Linked DNA regions of Oryzias latipes. The protein of the gene in region 1 interacts with the protein of each later gene in a biochemical or structural test. Links are inferred from orthologs where the notes say so. Each region holds a gene or a part of one and is shown in the gene's direction. Other genes may lie near its edges.

Region 1 (6,041 bases):
GAAAAAGGTTCATTGTATGAATGCAACAATGTGTGAATGATGAAAGTTTAAGAAATGTCTGGACTAGTGAAGGTACACAAATGATGATCACATGATACTACAAGCGGGTTTATTTCTGTCTCCTTTGTACATAAAACTCCTTTCCTGCAGTGCTTCCCCCAAAATTCTGACGGAGCATTAAAAAGTTGACTGATCTTTTACACAAAATGTAAAAAAAATTATCCAAATGATTAATTACATGTGTTCTCAAAATAACTTTTTGCTTTTTTTGTTAAGCAAAAAACAACTTATAGTCCGTTTTTTATGTAGGAATGAATACTTTTGTTGAAAAAAGTTCTGCCTTTGTCCAGTTTCTTGTGAGTATTGTAAAATGTTTTTTTCTATAATGGTTTAGAATGCAAATTTGTCACAAAAAAAATCATTTGATTTTTAATTGAGTTTTGAATGAAGTTGAATGGTGAATTGAAATGGATTATCCATGACAGTTTTTGGTTGTGGTTCATGTTTGTGCGTGCACAATACACCTCAAGTTTAGTGGTTATTGTGAAACCCTAAAAGTAGGTCAAACTGCTCTACATTCGGCTAAAGAGACGCTCTCTGTGGAACCACAAAACACAGGTTTATCCCCTGAACGTCTAGACCACCTCAGTAATCAGTGCAGCTGTGGTTCAGGGTCTGCTCACATTAAGTATAGCGCAAACTGCGCTGGCGTTTGATGCTCACCATCAGTCGCCTGTAACTCAGACTGAGATGCACAACTGTGGAGCCATGTGATACAAATATTTTAACAGCAATAGTGTACATAAATTCCCTCTCCTCTACCTCCAGTCACTGACAGCAGCACCAGCTGGCTGGTGAGGAAACAAACCCAAAACTATCCTCACGGTTCAAAAAGTGTTTCATTGGTTCACAAGCCCTCTCTTCAAACAAAGAGTTGATATGTGGTCCAAAAGCTTTTTTAATATAGAAAGACAGAGAAAAAACGACTCTACTGTTAAAATAAGGAAATGCATTCTTAGATGTACATCATCACATGCCAGTAGGGCTGCACGATATGAGGAAGACCTGCGATATGTGATATTTGTGATCAATATTGTGATAACAAATAGCAAAACAACCCAAAAAAGCATTCCCATTTCATTCCAACAGTTTAAAAAGTATACCCCAAGTGACCCTCCTTGACACAGATGAACATCCAAGATAAAAGAGCTCCATCTGATTGGGTAACTGGAAGGTGTCCCTCTGATTGGTCAAATGGATAAATGGATTTATTTGATTTGTTAAATACTTCATAAGATTGTTTTAGCTCATTAAGGAAACCATTTATTGCAATTTTCTCCGTCTTTCACGATATGCATATTTCACAGCTTGATGTCGCGATGACGATAAATTTACGATATATTGTGCAGGCCTACATGCCAGTGGTGAGTCCGAGAGACAGGGACTTGGGACTTGGAATTGAGTCAGAATTAAGTCTCACATACAGAGACTTGACTTACAGTTTCATCTCAAGACTTGGGACTTGACTTGAAAATACGGCTAAAGATGCTGGACTTGACTAATAGTTAAAGCTAATAAATTGAGACTTGACTTGAAGTACCAGATAAAGACTTGAGACTTGACTGGAACTTATCACCAAAGACTCAAGACTTAAGTTGATTTCATCACCAAAGTTTTCAAATTTGACTTGAAAATAAATACGAAGACTTTGGAGTTGACTTGAAGTTGAAGAAAGAGACGTGTGAGCATTTCTGGTGTGTGCTGGTCTTAGGTTTTATGTTTTTTAAAGGTTTCCCTTTGTTCATTCTTTTCTTTGAGAATTGTCTTTTAAAGTCCTTCTAAAACCCAACAAGCTCAGGTTTACTGTCACATGGTAAGTTTTCACTTAAATTAAGTGAAAAAAGGAGAGAATATCCAACAAGAACTGGAGCTGGACAAACTGTTGATACTCTGATGGCAGATGTTTACTTCATTTAGATTAAAAATACCATCCAGTTGAGTCTGTTAAAAACTGTAACTTTGAATGGATATTACAAAAAATGTAAACGTGTTTTTTTTTTTTTATCTGTCCTACAGAACAAGGGGATCCACGAGTGGAACTTCAACGCCAAGTCTGTGCGGGGTGTCAGGTCAGGTCCAAACCCCATTAGACTGGTTGTCGGTTCCATTTCCTGTTGGCTCTCCTGGAGCTTGTGTGTTAGCAAAATGCATAAAACTTGAGACAAGTGGGGTGTCTCACTTCTTCTTCATTCTAAACATTTACACCAAATGTTCAATTAAAATGTTAATTAAAAAGAACAATAGAAAAGGAAAGTGGGAAGGAAAAACCATCCCAAAGTGACCGCTACTTTACTCATCAGTTAAACTCCTGGTCATTGCTGCAGCTTTAAGGGGAAGGCAAAAAGAGTCATTTGAGGTACTAAACATCAGCCTCAGCTCCTTCTTTTACATGTGGGTTGACATTTTTGCCAACTGCTATCTTCATGCCAGCTTCCTCATTAAAGAGAAAGATGGAGATAAACAGGCAGGAACATGAAGTGGGATTGTAATCCAATGCTCCTGTTTTAGAAACACTTCTTATCTCCTATATTTAACTCCAAGAGCTTGATTCTGTTGCTTTCTTTCTCGTCTTGACTTGTTTCAAGCAACTCTCCAGACTTTATCCCAACATTTACAGCAGGAACAGCTTGTTTTGTTGGCCGATATTAAGGACAATTTAAAGCATGGAGGTCGTTTTCCGTCGCCTCTCTTAACTGGACTAAATGAAAGACCACCACGGAAGAATTTTCTTCCCATATTTTTTTTCCCCTGCACGCCCCTCAAAGGAATTCAGTATCGGATCGGACGGGTTGTGCTTGCATGTTGCTAAGGAACGGCTCATTCCCTGAGCCCACTCAGCCTGCAGACAGTCAGCAGGACACAATAGCAGCTCTCTGAGCTGCAATGCCAACCAGAGCACACTGTGACACAAACTTCAATGTCTGGCTCAGCAAATTCTAAGATGGACAAAGCATCATCTCTCTGGACAAACACTTCATCTCACCAGTTGTTTGCTGAGCATATATCTTTTGGCGAAGCCTAGATTTAATAAAATATAAAATCATTCCTCATATAGAGAGAACATGAATAACTCTTGACTGTCTCTTCTCAGCATCTCCAAGTTTGACGAGCGCAGCGCCTTCCTCTATGTGCTCCACAATGCAGAGGACTTCCAGATCTATTTCTGCACAGAGATTCACTGCAAAAGGTCGGTCCGCCTATCATGGCTCCCGTTTCGGTTTAATCACAGGTAGTTCATTTCATCAGTCATTGCTAAGCGAGTCTCCTGCTGCACTGCAGTGGTCCCCTGTAGCTTTAAAACAAACACTTTAAGATACATCACTCACTGATCTAAAGATCGGTGCGTTGATCATGGCGCCATACCTGAGATTGTCAAATGTAGCTTCAACTACTATTTTATAATGCAGTTTAGCTTAAAAACATTTAAAACGACAAAGATTCTCAATTTTTTGTCATTTTTTTCCTCTGATGGTGATTCACATTGAAATTCAAAGGATTATCAGGTCTGTTGTTGCTTAAAGCCTTAGTCACCTGTATAGGTGCTGCAGGTTTCTGGATTCCAGGCCCATGGAGGGTTGTAGAAAACGTTCCATTGTCGTGCGTGTGGTAGATGTATCGTAAATATGTGGGAGTTGCACGCACTTTATGCCGTACGAATGATGCTGGCGTACAGTGTCCTTACGCCACACTCATTAGCAAGGTGCAAGAACTGACTTCTTACTGACCGCACGCAATTCTGCACACACAGGATATGCAGGTGATACGCAAGTACCCATAGGACGCCTGTAGCAGGTCAGCACAAACTACAATCTGATTATCTTATTTCCTCATTTCCAGTAGTAAAGTGGCTGGATGGCTCAGTCAGCTGGGTGTCACGCAGGAAGCCTGGGTTCTATCTGGGTCTCTCTGTGCCCTGAAAATACAGGGTTGTGTCAGGAAGGGCATCCGGCGTAAAAACTGTCTGCCAAACCACCTGTGGTGACCCCATGAACGTAACGTAAAAGTATCTCAATCTTTTTTTATTCACAGAGAGGGAACTTTCTAAAGAAAAAAAATCAGTTTATCAGAAGAGTTATTCTAACTTTACCAAGCTCTCTAAGTGCTGGACTCTGATTGGTTGTCTGCCCCCTCCTCTAACCCTCCCTCCCCCCTAGTTCCACAGATCAGTTTGACACAAGTTTTGCAGCAAGGAATATGTTTTGCGCCAGCAGATTCACGCAGAAGCACATTTGAGCAGTTGTACTCACAGATTTGACGTTGCAACTCTAAATGAACACATGCAAATGGGAATTTGTCAGTTCACAACAGAAGATTTTTACACACAGATGCAGATTTTTGGTGCACAAGTTTTCACATTTTATTTTACAAGTTCTCACATCAAATCTACAAGTTCATCCATTTAGAGACATTTTTACCTTCATAGCTTTTGTCACAAACAGGAGTTGTATGTGTGGATGGAATGGGATCATTCCTGGGGCTTTACATAACAATCATTTCAGACAAAACTCATCCTTCTAAGAGGAACAACCTGTAAAATAGATAACTGACAAAAAAAAATTTTACCCAATAGAAAGTGAAAATATCATTTTCAATTTTGGATCTGATTCTAACATTTTTGCATAAATCCTGCCGCTGCAAAAAACTCTTTCTGCAGGAACTTGAAGTCCTCTTGTCAGTTCTGAACCCTGGTGGGAAATTTCCCGTTCTTCCATCGGCAGCACACCTTGTTTCATTTCAACCCCATCATGTCCCCTGCCAGCTGCTCTTTGCAGCTCTGTGTTCCAACTTGTGACTCTCACATCTGAGGCTTCCAGTGTCATTATCTGGAGTGTGAGAGCCCAGTGACTCATGCCTGCTGTTGCGGTTACCGACGGTCCCTTTATCTCTGCTTCTGCAGGAAAAAAAGGTTTAAAGGACAGCAAGTGGAGGAAAGCTGCAGTTCTAAAAAATAAAAAAAAGGGACAAACAGCAATAGAAAGGATTGATTTGCATGTCTGCCTGCAGACATTGTGATTGGTTTGTGTTCACAATGACAGTGTGGTTGAACACCTGCAGGCGTCAAGTGTGACAGCATGATGAGTGCTATTTCACAGCTTGTGAGCAGCACAGACAGTAAATGTCATTGTATGAATGCATTGTGGAGGAGGAGTGCATGTAAACACACTGTTGCCCTATCAGGATAGGATCAGAGGCTACATGGCAACTCTCAATGACAATAAACTGAAAATTTAATTTTTTTAAATGTAAATTTTTAAGGACGTTTACTTGTCTTAGCTTTTTATATTTTTATTTATGGTAATATATGTTTATATATTTTCTAATGTATTGTTTTATTAGATAAACTTGATAAAACTTGAAAAGTATGAAATGCATAAAACAAATTTACACTGATTTGTATTCTTTTTTTGTTGTATACTTTTAGAAGGATTTTTAACAATATATACTTTATTCTTTTACTTACTGAATATTTGTATTAAATGGTATTATGAAATTATATTTGTATACATTAAACTCTTTTGCACATCAATTTCTATAATATGTAATATTTTTCAATTTTGTATTGTAATCGTTTTTACTTTTTTTTGCTAATCAAACCTTCTAAAATATGATTATTTTTTTTAATTAACAAAGTTTTTTAAATCTCTTTTAACATAATGTTATCATTATGCTATCAGGGTTACTACTTTTATATGTTTTTTTTATATATTTTTGTAAATTTTTATTTCTGTTCAATTTGTATTATTTATTCATTTATTTTAGCCAAAAATAACATGCCAACATTTCTTAATTATGTATTGGTATTTATGTATTTATAAATATTCATTTATTTTAATTTTAATTGCAACCTGGGCAAGAGGTAAGCAGCTCAAGTCACTAAGACAAAAGAGTTAAACAATGACAGAAAGACATTTAACAGGAAAGCAAGAAAATAAAATGGAACTTGTGCTTTAAAAATTGAAAGCAAGAGTAGAATAGTTAAG
Region 2 (6,620 bases), on another chromosome or scaffold:
TAATGCTCTTTCTCGAGAATTAGTATTTCTAACAAGGAACACAATGACACATGTAATGATAAAACCACAATTAGCCACATTATCAACTGAAGCATGCCCTCTTATGGAAAAAAATGTAATAACTCTTTTATCAGAAATTGGTTAATTGAAAGATTATTTCCTGGACGATAGAACAAAAATAATATATTACAGAAATGTGAACAAAATGTTGTTTCTAAATTCAGAACCAAATTCATGAAACTTCCTATTCTCCCAAAAGTTAAAGAAACACACTTCAAAATTATGAATAATATTCATCCCTCCAAAGAATTACTTAGATTACGTTTCAACATTGATGACAACAGCTGTTCCTTCTGCCAAACTGCTGTTGAAGACACCGACCACATATTTTTCCTGTGTAGCATTGTACACATTTTTTGGTTAGATGTTTACAAATAGTTGAAAAATAAATTCCCATTCATTGTGAACCTTTTTTTAAAAAGAAGTCATAATTTTCGGCATATCACTACACAAAAATGTATTTATTTATGTATCAATACCATTTTATGAATAGTCAAGTTTTTTATACACAAAAACAATTACAGAAATGTCACCCCAACATTACCTTCTTTAATGCAGAAGTCAATTTATACTTAAAACCCCTAAGATTAATCAATTTACCAAAAGCATAACAGTTTATGATATTCTGAGCGATACTATCTGAGACGGTTTATTTAGTCATTGTTGTACCAACCAGCATTTGGTGTCACTATTAAACTCTGAAATTGTTGTTTTCTTGTGTCTTGTGTATTTGCACGTATATGTATGCATATTGATAAGTACTCTATTTTATTTTGTTTGTGCTTCCTTTTCAATTGCTATATTCTTTCTACTAGTATCCACCATATTTTGGGATGTTTTTGGTTTGTGTTCGATAAAGTTCTTTAAAAAAAAAAAAAAAAACTCTGATTCAGCATTTTATGTACTCTTCCTGTTTCAGAAATGTTATAAACTGTGTACTTATTTTGCAATAACCTTCGATCCCACTAGAGAGCCCTATTGCATTGCAGATGAGCCAGAGACTGTACTTCTTCTGACTATTGTATTTGTGTTTTGTTAGGGCTGTACCAACTGAAGATGGTGGACACACAAGCATCCTGAAAGCCTCAAGAGGCTGATGGCGTGGTTCAAACAGGTAATGTGGAGCATCAATCAGGAATGAAAAGATTTCTGTGTCACTGCTATTAATTGTATACACACATGACGCCTCTGCAGGGAAAACTGCAATGTCGGGAGCACGTCACCAAAGGCTTTGAAAACATGCCAGCTGCTTTTAAGGGGATGCTGAAAGGAGACAACACTGGCAAAGCCGTTGTTGCTGTCTGATGGATGACCAATAAAGGTCTTTACACAATTAATGAAGGAGGATTTTACATATACTGCACTGAAAAATAACTACAAGATATGTATTGTCTTTTCAGTGTTTAGTGAATTAATTTTATTTTTAAAATACATATGTGTGAGATATGTCTGTATTTCTCAATAGAATGTAGTTTTATTTAAATTGTTTAGTATTTTTCTCTTTTTTTCCCGGACAAACGTAAATAAAAAGATTGTTTTCTTACAGCTGTGACACGGCTTCTACCTGAACGGGGAAAAAAATCCAAAAGTGACATTTGCTTGTTTTACAGCGACATAGATAAAACTGTAACCAGATATTGTTGTTTATTCTATAATAAAGGTTGTTTTTGGTCTTTATTGATGTATGCTGGTATTGCATGCATTGCCTAACTGATTTGAACTTGCATCATATTTTAAAGAATGGAATTATGCAAAGATACTTTTAAAAAATGTTTTAAGGTCTAAATTAGGCAATTCTTAGGCTTCAAATGAAGTTTCCTTATTTTTACGATAGAACCTGTTGGAACATTCACATATGTAGTCTAAATACTCAAATTCTTTATTCAAATATGTAAATGGAAAAACAAGTCTTTGTGTACCATCTTTTAGAATTAATCTTCTGATTAAATCACTTCCCTAAACTTATTCCAACCATGATCAAACTGCAATAATTTGTCTAAATATTGCAATTTTTTGTTATAGTATGGACTTTTCTGTTTATTGTTTACCCCTTACTTTAGTTGTAAAAGAATAAACAAATAAAGTCTTTTTAAGCTATTACGTAATAAGACTAGTGCAGGGGTGTGGCCTCATGGGCGTTGACCAGAGTTTGTACAAGGAAATATGGTCTGCAGTGACCATGTTTACGGTAGTACAGAAATTTGCCAAGTCATTGTGATTCGACTGTCTGATCAAGCGTTGACGGAATTAAAAACAAAAAAAGTATTTCAACTTACTATCGATATAATTCTCTAAAAGGACGCGTTATTGTTAGTAGATTAGTTTTGCAAGTTATTTTAAGCCGCAACGAAACAACAACGAAGCACTAACGGGCCTCAGATATATATAGCCTGACATCACCGATTCTGTAGTTTTTATTCTCAGTAAAGAGCTAAAATATTTGCAAGAATCCAGGAAAGGAAACCATTCTGTTTATAACTTTCAAAATAAAAGTATTTTTCGTGAAGCTTTACCAGTAATAACACAACTGCTGATACAACATGAAATCAAGTACGGTTACAACACATTTCATGCACAATCATAGTGGCAATGACGTATACACACGGCGTTCTTTTAATATAAATGATTCGCTTAAACATAAAAGACTGGCTTTTATTTTGTTAGTCAACCCATCAGCTCTTCCGCTGCGACGTGTTAGTCTGACGCCGTTATAAATAGGGCAGGTCATCCTCTTTGACTGAAAGTGTGGTCTTTGCGAAGCCGCTGTCTTTTAGATTCAGCGAGAGTTTGCCTTTTCAAAACAGCAAACATGGTCCGTGAAGTGGCTGATCTTGTAAGTAGTTCTATAAATACAATTAATCATGTCTTTATTTATTTCGCTGTACTACTACATACATTCAGGACAGCACAGTTGACGTTAGGTAGCCGCGCGGTTATTTTCTCAGCAAGCTTCTATCTACTTACCTTTTTTGCAAGAAAAAAAAACCCTGTTAAAGCATTTATTCGCTTAGAGTTAGCATGTTTATTGTCGTTGATGGAATAAATTACTCCGACAGAATAACTCTGGAGGCTGTATTGCTAATGTTTAGTTGTTTTTTCTTTTTTTCCATTTTCTACCCATGATGCACGAGGGCGGACTTTGCTATCTTGTTGCCGCGCGAACACGTTGCCAGGGTTACAAGTTTTCGGAAAGGTTTTACCGTTAACTAGATAAAAAATCTTTTAGTAATACACCAAAAAAACGTTCCTATCATGGCTCAGATGAGCAGAAAGCTACAATAAAGTACTAGTTTGAGTAAAAGTCAACTCCTATTTGCGACACTTGGACCATTCCGCTAGGCCTCGGGCCGCCTCTGTCCGTGTGTACACATGCCTGGATGTCAAAACTGCTGAAATCATTCAGACTTCTGGGTGTCACTGGTTGCGTCCGAATTCCTTCACTAATCACTACAAAGTGCACTGTGCGTTCGCCATTTTGTAGTGCTGTCCGATTCTACAATTCCAAAATCGAGTGCCCTGCAAATTTCCCAGAAATCTCCGCAAAAAAACAGTGTGCATCAATGCTCACTAGATCTGTGAATATAGATCACAATGCATGGCATCAAATCTATTTTTGCTTAAAAATGTATTTAAATGTACTTTCTGAACAACCTGTCAAGTGTTTTTATCTTCAGAAGACTGATAAATGATCCTCGCAAAATGCTCCTATCAATTAGATTTTAACTTCGTGAAATCGATGACGTCATATCCGCCGTAAATTAAAAAAAAAAGTAGTGGGCATGGTGTCCAAATTGCTTTTAAGTCGGTGCACTCTATAGTTTTTTTTAGAAGTTGGGGGTTAGGGTGGGAATTCAGATACAGCGACTGCTTTTGATCTGGGGCTGTTCTGCTAATCATTAGCCAAACCTTTGATAACCACTTATCGTTACACTATGGGAAAGCCTGCTGACAAAATGAAGTAATTTATTTAAACGAATTCTTTACCTTTATGCTTATTTAAAATAAATGATGGAAACATGCTTTTTTTGTAGGCAGAATTCAAGAAAATTCTGGAAGACGCTGGAGACAAGCTGGTGGTTGTGGACTTTACTGCATCATGGTGTGGGCCCTGCAAACAGATTGCCCCCTTGTACAAGGTAGATAACTGGAGCTTAAAGACTTGATCCGATGAAAATGTTTTTAACATGTTTTTGTGCCCATTTTCTGATAAAGGAGAACATGTATAAAGAAATTTAAGCTTAAAAATGCATTTCTGAGTACTTCTTTTTCTTATTGTGAATCAGTCACAGGCAAGAAAGGACAGTTTTGACAGAGCTTGTAGTTGTAATGTAGAAGCTACAATCTGCAGGCCACAAGCTCCCTGCTCCACTCCATACTGATGCCTCTACTTGCAGACAAATGGATCCATGTACGTCTTTGTTTTCCTCGTCTGAGCTGTCATCCGGCTCAAAACTGTATGCCTGATAGCTCCGATATTGCTCACCATTTTTGTTTCACCTGTAGTGTTAGGTTGGGGGTTTGATGGGCTTTAAGCTAGTCGGAGAGCTCGGAAGTTACAACCCCTCTCTGTCAACCGTCCCAACCAGCGAATAGAAACAGGGGGACCAATTGAAAACGGTGTTTAAATGTAGATGCATTGTTACTATGGCAACCCTATAAGGTTTACCTCCCCACTTCAAGGAGAGGAAGTGCTTGTTCACAGGAAATGGTCCAACACACACCCAGTATGATTTTTCAGTAAAAGTGCTCTGTTTCTGTAGAGTTGAGTCTAATGTACTGTTGTTGTATGTACTTGTTGTCTTGCAGCAAATGTCGGAAAGCGATGACAACAAGAATGTGGTTTTCCTGAAGGTGGATGTGGACGAGGCTGATGTGAGTGTGCACGTTCTCCTCCTTGGCCAGTACAAACTAGCTTTGTTTTAATGGGCAAAACCAGCTTTTGTTTTTAGTCTCTCTACTTTATGAAAGCGTTAGGTTGCAATTGGGGGCCAGCAACAATAATTACTTAATAATTGTATTTTTATTTTTTTTAATTTTGATTCATAAAAAAAAACTGTTGCTTTTTCTCTTTCAGGATATCAGCAGTTTCTGTGAAATTAAATGCATGCCTACATTCCACTTCTACAAGGGGGGCAAAAAGGTAAGTAACTGAGTGCAGTAGTTGAAAAGTTTATAACTTTTTACAGAGGTTCTGATGACTTCCTTTAAAAAAAGAGACCCTGTGTCACATGGGATCATTAAGAGAGTCTTACTGTATTTTTCAAACCATAAGGTTATCTTAAAATCCTTGTATTTGTAAAATACTATTTATAAATTGAGTGTACTTACTGCCCTCAAATTGATTTCCTTTGGTACATGGGGCCCAAAAATCTGCCAAAATGTTTTAGTTTGACTTGTGATGCGTCCCGTCTGTCAAATGTTGTGGAATGAGTTGAATGAAGTTTAAGTTTACTTTGTCTTTTTTGCTATTTAAAAGGAAAACCTCTTTGTCTTTCTTTAACCAGAGAGCCATGTGTGCCCTGGTTTAAGTGATCCCTGTTTAAGCCCTGTGTAAGCTTGACTTAAACAATTAAACCAGCCTGGAAGCCCTAATGTCCATCCTGCAGTAGCAGAAACGGCTAGTTTTTGTTTGCAAATATTAGATCTCACCTTTTCAACTTCTGTCATTTTTTTATGTTTTTATTTTTCCAGGTGGATGAGTTCTCTGGTGCCAACGTTGCAACCCTGGAGGAAAAGCTGAAAGCACTGAGATAGGAGTAGAAGTCAGACTGACCAGAGCAGAAAATAAAACGCATAACTGATAAAGTCTTCACCTCATAACACACCCAAAGAAAGAATTGCAGCTAAGCGTCATGTTTAACTGCTATCAAGTTTTGTTTTTTTCCCCAATGTTGGCACTAACTTGTCATCTATCCTGAGTTGAACAGTTTGTGTACTGCATTTACTTCAGTCCAGGTTTTATTTTTTTATTTTTTTTTTCTACTCTAACCATTTATGAAGTTTGAGTAATCCATGTTACCTCTGTATGGATTTAATAAATGAATCAAACCCTAAACTGCCCGACTACAAAGAGCTTCTAATAGCATTTAATGCTTTAATAGAAATGTGACAATAGTTTACACATAAACACTGGAACGGTCACATCAATCTTTTTTTACACATCATACAAGTATATATAGCAGCGCATGTTTAATACTGTTAAGTCTTTATATGAAAAAATACAGCTTTAAATTTACAAACTGGTTCTTTTTTTGACTTTGAAGAGAAATGAAAAGTTGGCAAGAGTCCAGAAACTATACAGGAAATCCCTTCATTAGATGATTCACATGGAGGTGACTGGAACCTTTAGAAATGGTAGTAAACAGATTTCCTCTTCCTGCAGGGAAGAAGAAAAAAAAAGGTTTTAGCACAAATAGCTTAACATCTGCGTTCAAGCAGAATTTGAAAAAGTTTGAATAAAAAGTGATTTTTTTTTTTCCTATGGAATAAATGCAAATATTATTTTACTTAATTGTGAATCTTAAGGTGCCACTGAAGGTATTAAAGCACGTTTTTAAAAA

What was found.
Region 2: the proteins of map3k5 (region 1) and txn form a complex in vitro, tested with the Homo sapiens proteins (3 studies listed by BioGRID). The link is inferred for Oryzias latipes from reciprocal best matches to the Homo sapiens genes MAP3K5 and TXN.

What each region holds. Positions count from the first base shown.
Region 1 is NC_019882.2:18,743,744-18,749,784, reverse strand, and holds part of map3k5 (mitogen-activated protein kinase kinase kinase 5), read left to right. Parts: intron 1-2,076; coding exon 2,077-2,129; intron 2,130-3,151; coding exon 3,152-3,247; intron 3,248-6,041. UniProt on the Homo sapiens protein: Serine/threonine kinase which acts as an essential component of the MAP kinase signal transduction pathway. Plays an important role in the cascades of cellular responses evoked by changes in the environment.
Region 2 is NC_019876.2:18,249,179-18,255,798, reverse strand, and holds txn (thioredoxin), read left to right. Parts: upstream 1-2,672; 5' UTR 2,673-2,869; coding exon 2,870-2,893; intron 2,894-4,091; coding exon 4,092-4,196; intron 4,197-4,866; coding exon 4,867-4,932; intron 4,933-5,134; coding exon 5,135-5,200; intron 5,201-5,751; coding exon 5,752-5,814; 3' UTR 5,815-6,115; downstream 6,116-6,620. Other genes in the region: svep1 (sushi, von Willebrand factor type A, EGF and pentraxin domain-containing protein 1), read right to left, coding at 6,406-6,436. UniProt on the Homo sapiens protein: Participates in various redox reactions through the reversible oxidation of its active center dithiol to a disulfide and catalyzes dithiol-disulfide exchange reactions.